2 linked regions of the Mytilus edulis genome follow. The protein of the gene in region 1 interacts with the protein of each later gene in a pairwise test. Links are inferred from orthologs where the notes say so. Each region holds a gene or a part of one and is shown on either strand. Other genes may lie near its edges.

Region 1 (8,912 bases):
CCTTTTGTAGTCATTAACATTGTGTTTAAATTTCATTGATTTCTATTTACTTAAACTCAAGTTATTGTGCGAAAACCAAGAATAATGCTTATTTGGGGCCTTTTTTGGCCCCTAATTCCTAAACTGTTGAAACCTAAACTCCCAAAATCAATCCCAACCGTTCTTTTGTGGTCATAAACCTTGTGTCAAAATTTCATAGATTTCTATTAACTTAAACTAAAGTTATAGTGCGAAAACCAAGAAAATGCTTATTTGGGCCCTTTTTGGCCCCTAATTCCTAAAATGTTGGGACCAAAACTCCCAAAATCAATACCAACCTTCCTTTTGTGGTCATAAACCTTTAGTTAAAATTTCATAGATTTCCATTCACTTTTACTAAAGTTAGAGTGCGAAAACTAAAAGTATTCGGACGCCGGACGACGACGACGACGCCAACGCCAACGTGATAGCAATATACGACGAAAAAATTTTCAAATTTTGCGGTCGTATAAAAATTAAAAATTTCAATATATTTCTATATGAAATCTAGTACAAATATTTAGAATATTTAAAGTATTCAAATAAATGTCTCCTCTTTTGAAAATTGTAAATTTAGGGCACAATTTTGATCATCTACATATACCTTTGATAATGATAAAAAAATCATTAATATTTATATCATAAACAGGTGTGTTTATTGTCTACTGGTTAAGAGACTCATGGCTACAGTGCTGAAGGTCCACATTCAATTCAGAGCATTGAAAATATCAGTTCATCAGATAGGTGATTTTCAACTTCCAACACAATATCTCTGGTACCAAGACCGGAGTTTAAACTAGAATGGGTACTTTTGGGACCTCAGTTGGTCAATGTTGCCAATGACCTTGACCGGAAGATCAATCTACTGATACTGTGGATTTATTTATTTTCGTGGGATACCAGTTCTCATTGATTTCGTGGTTTGAGGTGAACCACGAAATTAAATGTTCAACGAAGTATAAATTCTCTTTAGGCTTGTATAAACCCTTTAGTAAAACCACGAAATCAAATAAATTTTCACTAAAATACAATATTTTCTCAATCCACAAAAATTGGTACACACGAAAATAAATGAATCCACAGTCTCTCTTGGGTTTGTCTGTTCCTGGTGAGCAGCATGGCGGTTGGCTCCTAGTACTTTGGCTTTCTCCACCATAATAACAACCTTTATTCATTGTCCGAGCACTTCCGTGTGTTGGGATGGGGATTGTTCTTGTAAATATTTGTAAATACGTTGGTGTAACATCTCCATTACTCCATTTAACATGTTGGGAACACCCCCAAATGAGGGATATCCCTTATATAAAGGAATCCCCTTAGAGAAGGGGTCATTTTACTGTTGTAGAAAAGAAAATAGATTTTTTTTTAGATTTATTACTTTAAAAACATTGTAAAAGGAAAAAAATCATTATATTTCGAACAACTTTTCTAAAAGAAGGGTTGAATTAATTTTAATAATAAAGAAGATACATGTACACGTACATGTATACATTGTATACATTGTATGTCCAGGAATATAAAAAAATCTTGGACATGTTTTTACCATGTAATACCAGATAGATGTATAGATTTTTGGGAAATAGTTTCTTTGAATAGTATTAAATATAAATATGTGCCCATTTGTACTAAAAAGAGGTTTTTAACAAATATCCAAATTTTATCACTTGAAAAGTACCCTACATGTACATGTAGTCCAAATAATTATGACATCTTGAAAGGCTATTATATTTTTATCTTTGAGGCCTTACATTGCAGGAAGGCGTCAAAGCAAAAATTTAAAATAGCCTTCCAAGACCTCATAATTATTTGGACTAAAAGTATCCTAGTGTTATCGGTTCTCAGTAGTGTAACCAACTTTTGCTCCGTATTGAACCAGTTCTTATATGTTATACAATGTAAGAAGTTGTCACAGCTGTTTTTTATATTTGACTGTCACAGATACAAATTTAAGGGCATACCTTCTCCGATAATTGAATCGAATTAAACTTTAAAGTTCATAAGATATGGCCGAAACTGCGTTCCATAGATTTTTTTTCCATAGCGGTGTCACACTACATCTAACAATTGTGTAATACATATGTGGACTTGACATTCTTTTCGAGCTAGGTTTTGTTTACATTTGAAAATGTGCCACAGTTCCAGATAAGAATTCACAAATTGTGGTTTTTACCCACCATTTTTTTACGTAATTGGGTGATAAAGATTTTTAATTGCATTATCAATTTCAGTTCACCCCTCAAGCAAATATCAAATTGGGTTTTTAACCACTAAGCTAGGTGCTGTAAGAAAGTTTTGCCAGTAGTTTCACCTATTTGCCAGACCTACTTTACAAAAAAAAAAAATAAGTAGTTCCCAGATTTAGATATACCTTTCACTTTTTACAACTGGTTTCGTTTTTGACGTAACCCCAAGGTATGCAAACACGCACATGCGTTTGATGGATGCTTCATTAAAAAACTAGCTGAGTTTTGTTATTATCATAGCTTTCCCTAAGCTATCAAAAAGAAGATGAAAACATGCGGACATTTACTTTCGTTTTAAATCATTGTATGTTCCAACAGGGACCCATTTCAGCTACCTGATGCAGGGCTCTATTTTTAGAATGATAGGACATTTCCAATTATTAATATTATAAAATAGATTTACGCTACGACTGTAATCAGATAAGGGTAAATAACGCAAACGATAGCGAGTAAAAGCGTTAAGAACTCATAGTTTTGGCATATATATAATCAGATAATTTCCTTTGAATTAATTGGGTTATTGAACCCTGCAATGGGCAATTGCATTGGGTTTTTAATTATTTTTATTGTGTGATGACGCAAATATGCAGCTTATCTGGAGCTCTGATTTGCTATTAATGAACCAAGGGGATGAAGTTGGGGTTGTTTTGGGAATAAGGAAAAGTAGGTTAAAATTGAAAAATATTATTTATACTGTTGCAGTGTTCTCCCCAGAATTTTTGGATAGCGCTGTGGTAATCGCATAATTTTTGACAATGCTCAGTAACTTTATCGCGGCGCACGGTTTGTAATTGTTTTGTTATGTGTTTTTATTATATTATGCTGTTGATGTTTCCTCTTGTTATGATGTCCTCATCATGCTCATGGAAGTTACAGTGTACCCCTTAATGAGGCTTTGATTGTTAATGTTATTGTCTGGATAAAGAAGAAGAGTATTTTTTTCTCCATTGTAAATTCATATATATAATCCTCATACTATCTATGTATAAAACTGGAGGAGAAATCTTTTTCCATAATGGGTCTACACCAGACATGTCTGTGTGAAGATTTCTTAGCACTATCAGGTAATAATGCAGAACATGTAAGGACCAACAATAAAGTCATTGTCAGCTTCTGTTTCAGTGTTTGGTTTTGTAACCAACTGTAGCAGTGTACTGTTAACCTTATGACGTTTGACAGGAATTAACATTTTTTTTCATTTTTATGACCTTAACGTTTATAATATTTAAATGGCCTCATCCAAGCTTGAAATGGAGACAGTAAAATTTCTCAAGTCATATCAGCTTGGGTTTGTTTTTCTAATCATATGCTATCAAATGGTAGAATTTCTGACTAAACAATTATAAGTTCGAATAAGGGATAATGAATACTTAAAAGACTTGCTCATTTTCGGGGTTCGTATGGATAGTAAACCCGGCAAATAATTTGTAACAGACCCCTGTGTTTGATCGTTTTTAAAATCCTCGTTTGTTCAAAGTTTGTAAAACAAGTTTGTGAGTGACGTCAGGAAATGCGGTCAATTCATTTCATCTCATTTCATTCATATATGCCTCTATATATTCTTTAAATTAAAATAATAGATGTCAATGTCGAAATCTTTGTTTATTTTGATCTTTCAAAAAACGCCATTTTGTAAAATTTATGAGACTGGTCCCGCGGAGTTACTTTAATACAACGAAAATTCTTTCAAAAATCGTAAACCAGTCGATCATGTGGTCTGAAGTGAAAAATAAGCGGGAAATTTGAAAAAATTTGAAAAATACGAAAAAAAATATAGCGACGCGTTTGCATGGGATAGCGCTGTGGTCAGTGCAATAGGACAGCGGGGAATTGCAATAGCGCTGAAAAGCGCTGTGCTAAAACGGCCTGGGGAGAACACTGCTGTTGAACGTTATACCATGTCTGAAACTTGAAATGGTGACATTATTGCTTGCTTGAAGCGAGTTTTTATTCTGTCTTTGAAATACGGACATCAAGAAAACATGTGCGAATTCACGACCTACTTCTATTTTACCAGGGTGCATTGCTATTGAGAACTGATAACTATTGAGAACAGATGACTACGGGATACCCCTCATAAAAGGGATAGTCCCCTCATTTTAGGGCTAGAGTTGTTCCCAACCTGTTAATCCTGATATAAAGGAGTGTACACAGATTCAACTATACCCTTGCAGCTCAGTTGTTCCGTAAACATTTGGATCTACATTATAAGTAAGTACAAGTACATGTACATATATATACAAACATGCAATGTTATCCTAAATAAAATATTGAAAATTATGTATGGTAATCATTTTATTTCAAATTGGGTCCTCATCGACTATATTTGTGGTCCAGATCGAATTTGGCGTATCGGATTAGCGCCGGATCGACAGGAATTGATGAAAGCAATGGATAATAAATAATTATATTGTGTAAATCATGTATATTTGTATACATGTTTAAAAAAAAAACGTGTTTTTGAGCGATGGCGTTTAGTTAATTTTGTTAACGTGTAACTGTTTTGTATGACTAATTATTGATAGAATATAATTTTTATTCATTTAGAATGTTAAAAATGACATGATTTTAAGTACAACAACCTTTTCTTGCTGGACATGCTTTTCTTCATGGAGGCGGCCATAGCGGAAGTTGAAGTATTTGTTTTGATTTTTACACTTCCGGTTGAAGATGCATATATAAGCCTTTCAACTTTCACCTGTTGACCCTGGTGGTAAATAGAAATAGTAAACAAGTCTTCATTCATTCATTTTTACGTATTCGAATAACATGGAGAACAAGAGTTCAGATGCAGGTAAGGAAAATAATTATATGTTTTCCTAATTAGAGTTTTACGTAAAATTAAGAAAACTTGCATATGAAACAGAAATTTTTCATCTAGGATATAAATGAACGTTGTTTAGTAAAATGATGATTATAATGATGATGTTGATGACAACAACGACGATTGATTTTATTTTAATAATGATGCTGATGATAGTAAATTAATTATCAAATAATTAATAGATTTCGAATATACATGTAGTCATTTGAAGAAGAAAAAAAATAAGTAGTAAAAGAATAAATAAATATATATTCATAAACATGCATTACAATGTGAGACATTATGATTCCTTGAATAACTATGATAAATTGTAAGGTCTAACTGTTTATTTTTAAAATTACCTTTTTTGTATATACTTTTTTTTTGTGAAAAGGGGGGTTTAGTTTATCTCACTTTTGGTTTTGTAATAAAACATTATATTTATCGGAATTGAAATATCACATTGAAGAATAGTTCTGGGTGTACGTATTGAAAAAAATGATGAGGAGCCTGAGGACTGAGGAGAGATAGTCGAAATGTAGGGCCATTCACTCAAATTCTTTCGACTTCATTTTACTTGCATTGTGTACTGACCAAAAGGGAGGCAAAAGATACCAAATGACATTCAAACTCATATCAAAGTCCGAACACAAACAGACAATACAATATTGAAAAAAACATGAAAAACGACGAAAAATTAACCAACAATACTCAAAACATAATGACAAAAACACTAAGAATAGCCGACAACACGAACCCTTATTAACGGCCGTGGGTCATCTCACTGGGTGCTCTAGAAGGGTAAACAGATCCTGCTCCACATACGACACCTGTCGTGATACGCCTCTAAAATGTGTTGTCAGTCACGATTACAGATTTATGTATGTAATTTTTTCAGTAAATGTAATCAACTAATTTAAAACGCATAAAAACGCTCAGAGCTGCAATTTTGATAAATTCTGAGTATTATCAATGAAGAAAAATACATAAAGAATATTGTTAAGACTTGATAATAATTAAAATATTTCATTCCAGTAGGGGTTCTGACAGTGTGTGAACAAACACAGGAACACATAATTTATTATCGAGGAAAGTCGTTTTCAAATTAAAGCAAATATATTAGATAGTAAATATGTTTATTGTATAGCAATATAATATTTCCCACAGAACGTAACCAAAAGTTAGCGTGCAATAAATTCTAATATTGCAGTTAGTGCAATAAATCTTCAAAATTCATGACGTCATCAACGTTTAAATCTTAGTTTAAACCAATTTTTACTTTCAAATATTATATTTCTATACAATAAAAGGGTTATTGCATGAATATTAGGGAATACTGTCCCTCGTAGAACATATATTGCACTCGCAAGCTCGTGCAATACAAAATTCTACTCGGGACAATATTCCCCAATATTCATGCAATAACCCTATAATACTTGATATACTGCATAACGTATATTAAGTTTCAGGTGTATATAATAAGCCCCCGTACTAAAGAAGGAAGTAAACAAGTAAATACGTAGTAATTAGTTTCAGACGAACGACTGTGTATGAAATCGACCTTCGGTGTAAAATCGACATTGTCTGTCAGAATCGAAGGCGAAATCAATATATATCAAACGCTTTGTAAACATCAAATATATCTATTCATGGTGTGGAGTTTCAACGTGAGAAACATTATAAATAATTTCCATAAGTGAACAGTAAATAAATTAGTATAAAATCTGTTGTGGACAGTTGTCTCATTGGCAATCATACCACATCTTCTTTTTTGTATATATATATGTATTTCAACATTCTTGACCTCGTTAATATGCTCAGCTGAAGAATTTTCAGTCTGTCTTTAAATAACGTGTTCCACATTTTTCATGTCGGAGCCTTTTATAGCTGACTATAAGGTATGGGGTTTTCTAGTTTTTGAAGGCTTACGGGCCCCGTAATTGCTTATAAACACTCCATTTGAACTTTGGTAAAAAGTTCATACCACGTCTCCTTATTTTATATTCCAGCAAAAACTGTCGGTTTAGATGACTGATTATGAGAGTTACAAATAAGTCATTCTCTTTAATCCACTGGTTTGTCTTCAGTATATTTTAATAAAATGTTTTCTGGTGTATACTCACTATACATGCACATCACATTTGCCAATCGAAATAAAAATAGCAATTTCAAACATTGACACTATTTTAGTGAAAAGTTACAAGCTTTGGTGTACCAATTTGGTACAAAAAAGAAGGTTTAAAGACAGTTTAACACGGCTTCTTATTTGGCACAATTCCTTAAGATGGTTAAAAAAAAAGATGAAACAAGTTTTTTAATGTACATGTAGCACGTGAACGGTTGACTTAATTTTCTGAGACACGTTATTTTTGCGTCAAAGTTGAAAAAGTTCAATTTAGGAATTCCAAATTTAAACATGTGTTGGAAGAACATTTTCTAGATTTTAAAAGGTTTAAGGAAAACGAATAAACACTAAAACAAATGTATATATAGCTGTAGATATTTACATGTAGTGCATACTAATATACATTGTTATAGGTTACTCCGAATATATATGCACGAACATGTTTCTATTCACATGTAAAAATATCTTAACACAAAGTGCTTGTTTTCGTTAATAAACACGCAGATATAGAATCAATCTAGACAGTTACTTATATATAATTATAGTATAAAAAAATATCAGAGTATTATCAGATATATACGTGGGTCTGAATGATACAAGGTTCCCAGCATAGAGAATAATTGGCAAAAAATACAGAAAAAAGGGGGGAGGAGGAGAAAAACAGAAGAAACATGAAGTAGATTTAATAATGGGTTGTTATGATACATGTATAAATGATTGAAAACAATAGACAAAAAATAAAAAATACAGATAAATAGCATAAAGATTTAAGGATACAGAAATGAAGGACCCTCATTCGGACCCCCTTTAATCATAAATACATGAAACCGTATAACCGAGAACAACACGACGAGGTTAGGTGATTGAAAAATGCTCATGTATGAACGTTAGATGACATGTAGATGTAAAAAGAAAAGGGGGGGGGGGGGGGTAAGGTACGGATCCATAGTTACAATGTAGCCATCGTCAGTTTGAGTCTTTGCATTTGTAATATGTGAAGCTCCTAAGGGGACTTTAGGGACGGCCTGCCCCTCTTAAATCCGCATCTGGATTCTAAGCACGGACATTGCAGAAAGCACTAAAATAAAGCAACCATAGTTCAACGAGGTCTTTATTAGCACTTATTTCTGTTGTCAAAGCGGCAATAATTTGTGTTTGTATTGACATTATATTTATGTAGAAGTATGCATACATGTATATGTAACATAATTATGTATTTATGTGATATCGATGAATTCTAAGAATGTGTATTGAATTAATGTAGGATAAAAGCTCATTAGAGCCTATGTTGTCTCTGTTTGAATACCTTGCCGACTCTAACATGTCTAAATAAAGCTTATTTATTATTAATTATTATGTGTATTGCTACATATCAATAATTACGTAGTTTATTTCGCTATAATCCGGTTCATTCAGGATTGTATGAATTAGGGATGATCATTAGGATTGTGCAGACAGGATATTAATATTGTTTTTACTTATATTGTTAATCCCTTGCTTTTAAAAACGAATTACCTTCTTAACATACTACAATGATCATGATGAATGAATTAATTAATAAACATCAAATTATATAGTTAAATTCTGCACTTGATTCGAGAAAAGAAACTGTAAAAGTCAACAGAAAATCAATATACACAAGTACATGTAAACGTGGTTATCCGCAATGACGTAAATATATGCAATGTTTTTAATATATTTTAAATTGCTGTATTGTACATGT
Region 2 (9,105 bases), on another chromosome or scaffold:
GAATGATATAGAAAATCTACCCAGAATGCTTGCCTATTTTGATATACAACATACAAGAAATAAAAGTTAAACCTATGCATGCGAAGCAAAACGGACGTGTAGACTGGGAAGACATATTAGGTCCTGCAAATAATTATATTATACAATTAGCAAAAAGGCACATAAATTGAAGCACTTGATCAGTATGATTAAAATTACCACATAGTACCAACTGGGGTATTTGTGAAAGATAGGAATGTGTAGATTCACAGACTTATACATATAACACTAGGGACACGGACAAATACAACGGATTTAGTTGAAATAAGTCAAGGGTCTTAGAAAAACGCGTCGCTTTATACAATGCCATAATAACACTGTGTCTAAACCACACCGGCAAAATTTGCTCGGACTCGATGGTATCTAACATCCGGCACAATGACGGAACACCAATAGACAAAATAAAGGTAGGTTTCTCCTTATTTTTTTATTTTTTTTATGATATCGAAGAATATATATACATATACAACTATTTTCTATTGTGAAATACAATATTTTCTACAACCGTTCTATATTAACGGAGAAATAAGTCAAAATGCATGTCAAAATGACGAATTGAGTGAACCTTGCCTCGAAATTGTTTAATTTCTCGTTAAATTGTTCACATTGTACGGAAAGAAAGGTACGGGAAGATAGATATTGACACGGAGATTGCAAATTTAGTTATTATGAGCATCTCAATAATTGTGTTTCTGTGTATGGAACGAAAGAAAAGGGCCATATCAAATTAAAATAAACCGGTTTCGTCAATGTTGTTACTTCACAATCACCCGGTTTCGTCTATATATATCACCCGGTTTTTTTTTGTTTTTTTTTAACAAACAATTTATGAAAAGAGACTTTGGCACGGATCGGAACATTGTCTTTCGAGAATTTAAATATATATTTATTGTAAAGTAAACTTGGCGTGTTAAAATCTATTTTAAACGGGAACTTTTGGACATAGTTAATTATGATAATACACATTTTCCTAATGAAAGGCGTATCCCTTATTTCACTTGACTTCAAACTAATTTTAAAAGGAATATAAATACTGCACTGGTATCTAATTATTTTGTAACATTATTATATTTTCTTTGTTTATAATAGTAGTATGTAAAGATGAAAAATAAAAGGATGTGTTTTGATTGTGCCATAATTTTAATTTACTATACTAGTACTATATTATATACACTTAGTTTACAATATTTACTATCAATTATTTATACATTTATGCATTCAATCATTGACGAACAGTCCCAAACCGACTATAGTCTATGCTGTTCTGCACAAATTAATCATGCATGCAGTCCTGCCAGATTTTCTGGTACTATATATACTGTGTTACTTGCGCACTAAAGCGAGTTTTCACACTCAAGCATCCATAACATTCCTTTTCTGGTAGGCACATTTATTTTCATAGGCATGTTTTTCACATTATTTTTACAGTTCAAATTCATTTTTTGTACAGTTCAAATTCAATTGAAACTTTAAGATAACTTTCGAAAACAATATCTGACAGTTTTGTATTTTCAATGTGAATAAAAGTTGATTTGCAAAACACGATCGTCATTTATATCTAGGTCTTATTAAGAAGAAGTGACGGTAACCACTTATCCCATAAACATTGACAATGAGACAACTTTCTTTTAGACACAAAAATTATGTTGAATTAATCAAGTTTAGGTCAGCGTATGCCTTAAACAATGAGAAAAACACACAAACTGCATGAAAGCAAGCTACAACAGGGCCCTATATTATAAATGTAAAACAATTCAAACAAGAAAACTACCTGCCTATTTTATGTTCAAAACGCATATGGTATAAAGCAACCAAAGACACCCATGGAATTACAAGCGTGTGATTCGGGAATGGACTGAGTCAAAGTGTTGTCGCTGACACAACCAGTACAACAAAAGTACAAATAATAAAAAATGATGAAAAACCTTAACTCGTCCGATGACAGAGCCTGTATAGTAAATGCGCGATGTGTGCCGAAACTTGTATCGTAGTTAAAATTATCCCTTAAATATAATAAATATACATGTATTCGCAGTTTACTATGAAGTCCACTATCACTGAACTAGTATAAATATTTATTAAGGGGCCAGCTAAAGTACGCCACCGGACGCGGGAGTTTCTCGCTTCATTGAAGACCCATTGTGGCCTTCGGCTGTTTTCTGCTCTATGGTCGGGTTGTTGTCGCTTGGAATTTGTATGAACTTTTCATGTTGATAGACATTTTAAAATAATCTGTTGTTTTTTATTATTTCAGATGACAGAAAACGTTACAATTGAGGCATTAGATGAGTCATTTCATGAACTTATCAATGAAAACTCATCAGCTGTTTCAACTGCAATCAACAGGACCGATGATCAAAATGTGTTTGTTTGCTGTTTTTGTGGGAAAAAATTAAAAACAATAAGTGGCCACAGACGTCATGAAAAAGGTCACTCTGACACTGAGTAAATTAAAATATTTGTGTTCTATAAGAGTAGGAATTCAAGTTTTTGCTTATCATTTATTTGAATCTGAGACTCATATAAATAATAAGCCGTTGTCCGGTGAACGAACATTGTTTTCCAACGACCCACAAAACTCCTTTTGAACGCTGAAGTTTAATTATCAATTAAAATGTAATGCGATTATGATTTTTTTTATTTGACCAAACCGGGTTATGCATTTTGAAATCTATGACGAAACCGGGTTGTATACATTGACGAAACCGGCCAGTTCCATTTTGACATGACCCATTTCTTTCGTTCCATACACAGAGATACAATTATGGAGATGCTCATAATAACTAAATTTGCAATCTCCGTGTCAATATCTATCTTCCCGTACCTTTCTTTCCGTACAATGTGAACAATTTAACGAGAAATTAAACAATTTCGAGGCAAGGTTCACTCAATTCGTCATTTTGACATGCATTTTGACTTATTTCTCCGTTAATATAGAACGGTTGTAGAAAATATTGCATCTCACAATAGAAAATAGTTGTATATGTATATTTATTCTTCGATATCATAAAAAAAATAAAAAAATAAGGAGAAACCTACCTTTATTTTGTCTATTGGTGTTCCGTCATTGTGCCGGATGTTAGATACCATCGAGTCCGAGCAAATTTTGCCGGTGTGGTTTAGACACAGTGTAATATAACTAGGAGCATATGATAAGATAAATACAAGAACATGTGGTATTTTTGACAATGAGACAACTCTCCACCAAATGACGTAAATATTAACCACTATATATATGTCACCGTAGGGCCTTCAACTATGGGCAAAACCAAACGGTCCCGATATGACAAGTTTAAAGCAATTCAAAGGAGAAATCTAATATGACAAGTTTTCATAGCTGTATATAACAAAAGCATATTTACAAATTAGGTATATTTTAACTCAATAATAACCAAATCAATGTTAAATCCTTCAAAGATCTTATACAGTGATCGATAAAACGATAACCTTTAAGGATAAGTGTATTCATAGAACCAATGAGTTAACGTAGATCGTTTCAGTTCGCGGGCTCTAATTATACAACATTCACGTAAAAATGAGGGGGCGATATCCCGCCTTGTAAAAGGGTTTTTACATTGTACAGCTTAAATTCCAAATACGGATCATTTTAACAAATGTAATTGAATATTTACATTGTAAGAAGGGGCAAAGTACCATCCACGCTTGATTAACCCTCATGAGATGTCCATGCAAGTAATCACATAATGAAAACTGCCAATCAAAACATAAAATTATTTACAAAGATAATCAAATAATCAAAAACCGTCCTAGATTATCAAATAAATAATCATGACTGAAATATTTGGTCTGGTTATCACATAATCACTAAAACAAGCCAACTTATCACATAATAAAAAAAAAACATGAAAAGGCTCATGCATCTACGTGACGAAACAAGATACCACTATACGTATGTACACTCATTGCTCAAAGTTCGAATAGTAAGCCGTAGTGCCAGTCAGCCGTGCAAATATCACTGCTTAATTAATTGGTCCAGGTCAAATGTGTTTTTGGAACTCTAATGGATAGTATATAAGAGGGGGAGGACAGGGGGTACCCTTCTCCCTTCTCCCACCCCTCTTCTCCTTTCTCCTACCCCCGTTCTCCTTTCTCCCATTAGAATAAAACATCTCCTTTTGAGATATTTTTTCTTGAAATATTAGAAAAATTTTTAAGAGGAGAGATATTTTATTTTTTCTCCTTTCTCCAACTTTTTCTCCTTTCTCCCAGCCTTCCTCTCCTTTCTCCTACCTCCTTTCTCCAACTTTTTCTCCTTTCTCCCAGCCTTCCTCTCCTTTCTCCTACCCCCTTTCTCCTTTCTCCCACCCCGTTTCTCCTTTCTCCTACCCCCTTTCTCCCTGTCTCCCTTACCCCTGTCCTCCCCCTCATATAAGGCCCATATGGTTAAATAATTTACTAGTATAATTTATGTCCAGTTCAATATAAGCTACAACAATCCATCGACTTATATGCAAAGGTTAAAATGCCTATTGTCTCAGTTTTATTACAAGACTACAGGAAAATTCCTTGTTCTGAAAAAAAATTCATGTATGCATTGTTTTATTTGAAGTTATGGTAAACAAACACAGGACCAATTCTCCGTTCAAGAATTTAAATGGGAATGTTTTGCTACTAGAGGTCTCGAGTGTCATTATTTAACTATTCAAATATTCATTATAAAAAATTGAAATGGAATAAAGGACTGTCTAAGAAATGAAATTTAGAAAGGACTGATTTTCCTAACACACCTATGATGTCATGATAGTTACCATAACTAAGGAAATCAAATTTCTATGTTTCAATATATTTTTCACAGTTCTGATCACTTCTTCATTTCCAGAAAACTTTTGATATGAATTTGGAAATTGTCATATTGAAATATTTGCCACTGGATGCTAAGCAGCCAATAATAAAATTCCGCCAATTAAATCAAAGTTTTTTAAAAATGATCATATTTTATCTTGAGAGAAAATGTATTATTTTCCCAGCTATAAGCTTTGCTAACTTTAGTGTATTAATCAGTTAATAGATTTGACAAGAATTAAAAACGTAACATCATTCGCGCTTGACCATCGTTATTTCTGCGCACATTACATCAGACCCCCATACGTCGCCCCGAAAATTATCAAAAAGTGGGCGTGTCACGTAGTGTGAACTCTTTAATAATGAAAGTAGGAAAAATGTATTTCAATTGCCACTTCCGGTTTCAATTAGCATGATTAGCAAACATTAAACGTTAATTTTGATTAAATAAGAACAATATAAGCCCTATAATTTGTATTTTGGTATTCTTGAACATCTACTCTAACACTGGAAATATCCTGTTTTGCGAAGAAAAACGATCTTTGGACAAGAAAGGAAATAAAGTTTGACTGCTAATTTTGTCGTCAAACAATGGCTGGAGTTTTGTTTGAAGATATTTTTGATGTGAAAGACATTGATCCTGATGGGAAAAAGTTCGACAGAGGTAAGCCAAATAAAATACTATTTTTCAAATATTTTTTTACTTGTCACTAAGGTTGAATGCTGTCCAAACGTGTTCAATCTCATTTACCGGCAAATGACATTCCAAGATGGCGTCTGCCGGGTGAAACGTGACATTTTCCTTTAGATTCCAACAATATTTGGAAATTAGCCAAGGTGATAATTTAGCTGAAGCTATAAGCAATGTTTTCTTTTCTTAATTTCTTCGAAAAAAAACTTCAGAAATTTGGTTCATACGTTGGAATTCCAGCATGTACCCGGTCTTTTGACAACATGTTTGTTCATGTCAGACCATTCTCATGTGATTGGCTTGTCACATTAAAAGAAGTACAAAACCCCCTGCCGACTGTTAGTACTTCATTCTGGCACAATCAAGAGAAGAGATTGGTACTGTTAATGTTACTGAAGATCTGTAAATATCAGAAATTGACATGATTTTATCACTTAAACCTCAACTAAAGATGCAAACTGATGTATGCTTTGGAGATCATTTAGAAGTAGACTGTGGACCCAGGACTTGTGACCTCACACCAGTACAAGTAAGGCTTTGAATTATGTGTTTTAATTTGGTGTCTTGGAAATTTCTTTCTATACATGAAATTGCACTTATTATTTCATGCAAAAAGATAAAAAAAAAAAAACCATGATAAATGATGATTGATATTGCAGTGAAATAATATGATCAATGTTATCTGCTATTGATTTAAAGTTGATCTGATTAACAGGCTGGAACATGATAGTAACCACCCCTTTTGATCAATCACTTGACAATAGTATTGTATTGTCATTACTATATATACTGCATAACTTCAATTACAATATAAATTGTAGCATATTAGAGTATTTGTCTTGTCCTCTGTTTTTTAATCTTAACACATAATCTTTTTTTGCCATCACTGACATTTTTCTGACAGAAGCCACATGTTGGATCTTGCACTGGTTGCCTAGGAAAGGGAATACACATTACTTACCTGTATGTTACCTGTGGGTTGACAAGTTCATTCACCTCTCATATTTACCATTACTCTATTATATATTTTATTACACCTCAACAAACTCTTCTTAATTTATTTGTAATATTTTATTAAACAATTGTTAATTCACTCTTGATTATTTATGTGAAGTGAATGTTCTACAAAAACACATTACCATACATTTGTATGTTACTATGTATAAGGGTTTTTTTTTTTGAAAGAGGGCATTATTGAAGAGTGGCATCATTCTTGTCTTTTACCTAATAATTTAATGGGACTTTTAAGGTTTGCCCCTTCTGACTTTTGTAGGGTACATACTTATCAACAGTTATCAAGAATACTCTATAAACAAGACTATAGCAATATGGTATTTGGTATGTGTACATACATGTACATGTATACCAAAGTTGTGCAGAGCATCAGCAATTTATTTTTTGTTAAATAAAAAAAAACTTGAAAAATAAAGGAAATCTTATAGACAAGTATGTATGCCTGAGTCTCTATTTTATTAACTGCATATATTTTAGTTAATTATTACTAGAAGATCATTTTGTGCAATTCAACTTATAAAAAGGGAATGGTTCTTCATTTGCTCTACTTAAAATAAATTAAATTTGAGGAAAATAAACCATTCTTTCCCTCTATATTTTTTTAACCAAGCAGAAATATGTGAAAAGGGAAAAGAAAAATGATATCAAAAGACATGCATGTTGAGTTTTCTTTGCGGTAATTTCTTTGATTACTGTATCAATAGTTACCTGAAGATAATAACAGTAAAGTCAAGAAGTACACAATCTACAATCAAAACATGACAAGGTTACTGGCATGCACTGATATTTGATCTTTCTTCCTTAGATCATCTGCTCTCATTAGAAGAGCTGTTGTAACTGATTAGAAAAATCATGTCTCATTACAAAGCATTAAACCAGATATTTTATTTAGCAATCCATAATTATTGATTTCAATATGGATGAATACAACTTATATTTTACACCTAGTACATGTATTTTGCACAGTGATTTGATTAATTTTATTTTCTGCTAAACCTTGCATGGTCTTCCTTTTCACCATGTTACTCATCAGTGCCATGGTTGTTTGTTTAATATATCTTCTTGTCATTTAGGAAATTTGGTATCAGAAGATTCTTGAATCATGGAAAATTGCATTAGAGCTTAAAATGTTTTTAAACATTTGTTGTGATTTGTGGAAGGTCAAATTTTGAACTTTAGATTTCACTTATTTTGATGTGTTGTTGTTTTATCATCTCATAGATATATACCCTCAGCAGCAGATCTAGAACTTTTTTAAAGGGGAGACCCACTGACATGATTCAGTGATTCCCTATGTAAACAACCAAATAACATTTGTTATATATTCCACACAAGTTATCATATTTCAGTAATCCTATTAGTGTTTCTTTTGTTTATCTTGGATAAGAGTGTTTTTGGAGTTATTATATGTCTTATATAATTCACAGCACTTATAGAAAAGAGAAAATATTTCACTGGCAACTATTCAAATTTATGAAGTATGAAAATAAATTATATCTTAAAGAGATGTCAGATTCTTCTTTATTATAGTTTGTTTTAATTTTTAAAGTTTTTGTCCTGATGACAATGTGTATAATGATTTATCTTTATTTCAGTATCCAGATTATTTTGTGAGTCAGAATCTTTCAAGATGGACTTGATTCTTGATGTGAACACTCAAATTTATCCTGTTGAATTGGGTAAGTGATGTTCAAATTTGCATTAGAAATTAAAAGAAAAAATAACATATAAATATGTATGTTAATTATTCAGTAAAGGTCACCTTGTGTAGATCTTCAAATGTCTTTCTAAGGCTAATATGTCTCCCCCCTCCCAAACCACAACAAAAAACAATGTAAAACAGAATTATAAATTGAATTTTATGAAAAAAAGTGCAAGATTGTAAGATTTGTTTTGTCTTATTATTTTTGGAAGAATGTCTCAGTGACTTGCCAATTTTGGGATACTCCTATGAACATTCCGTATGTACTGGTCAATATTTGTTCTAGGTCAATTCATATAAGTAATTCATATAAGTTTGGTTCATACCTTTTGCACACCTATTACAACATGTAACTGTGCTGAACTGTTTAGGGGGAGGAGGCGGATTTAGAGGGACAGGGGGGTGGGCCCCCCCTTTTTTTGGAAAAAAATGGTTGCTTATATAGGGAATCACTGAAGCGTGACTGGAGCAGTCCCCTCTAAGGCAGTCAGTGGGCCCCCACTTATGAAAATTTCTGTATCCACCAGTGGGAGGGGGAATGGGAAGTGCACTTGACTCCAATATGAATTGACTATTATATGAATTTTGTCATATATTCTGAAGTTTCTATTGCCATCAATATTCACTCAATCTGTTTTCATATAAACACTTGCAGTAATTCATGTCATTATTCCATGATATGTGGCAGATTTTGTTTCAGTTCTTTTTGGGTGTCAGTTGGTATGAATTGTTTCAGTGGGGTACTTTTTATACAAGGATTCATGATGGAAAGAAAATGCTAAGTGTCCAGTCCACAGCCAAAATTTTTTTCCAAAATTATTAAACTTGCATTTAATAATTAATCAAAATTCAATGT

What was found.
Region 2: the proteins of cytidine deaminase-like (region 1) and DNA-directed RNA polymerases I, II, and III subunit RPABC3-like interact in a two-hybrid assay, tested with the Caenorhabditis elegans proteins (2 studies listed by BioGRID). The link is inferred for Mytilus edulis from reciprocal best matches to the Caenorhabditis elegans genes cdd-2 and rpb-8.

Annotation. Positions count from the first base shown.
Region 1 is NC_092356.1:62,036,142-62,045,053, forward strand, and holds the start of cytidine deaminase-like, read left to right. Parts: upstream 1-4,939; 5' UTR 4,940-5,030; coding exon 5,031-5,055; intron 5,056-8,912. Other genes in the region: nucleolar complex protein 2 homolog, read right to left, coding at 4,844-4,884.
Region 2 is NC_092348.1:81,823,024-81,832,128, forward strand, and holds the start of DNA-directed RNA polymerases I, II, and III subunit RPABC3-like, read left to right. Parts: upstream 1-5,217; 5' UTR 5,218-5,433; coding exon 5,434-5,506; intron 5,507-8,142; coding exon 8,143-8,226; intron 8,227-9,105. UniProt on the Caenorhabditis elegans protein: DNA-dependent RNA polymerase catalyzes the transcription of DNA into RNA using the four ribonucleoside triphosphates as substrates.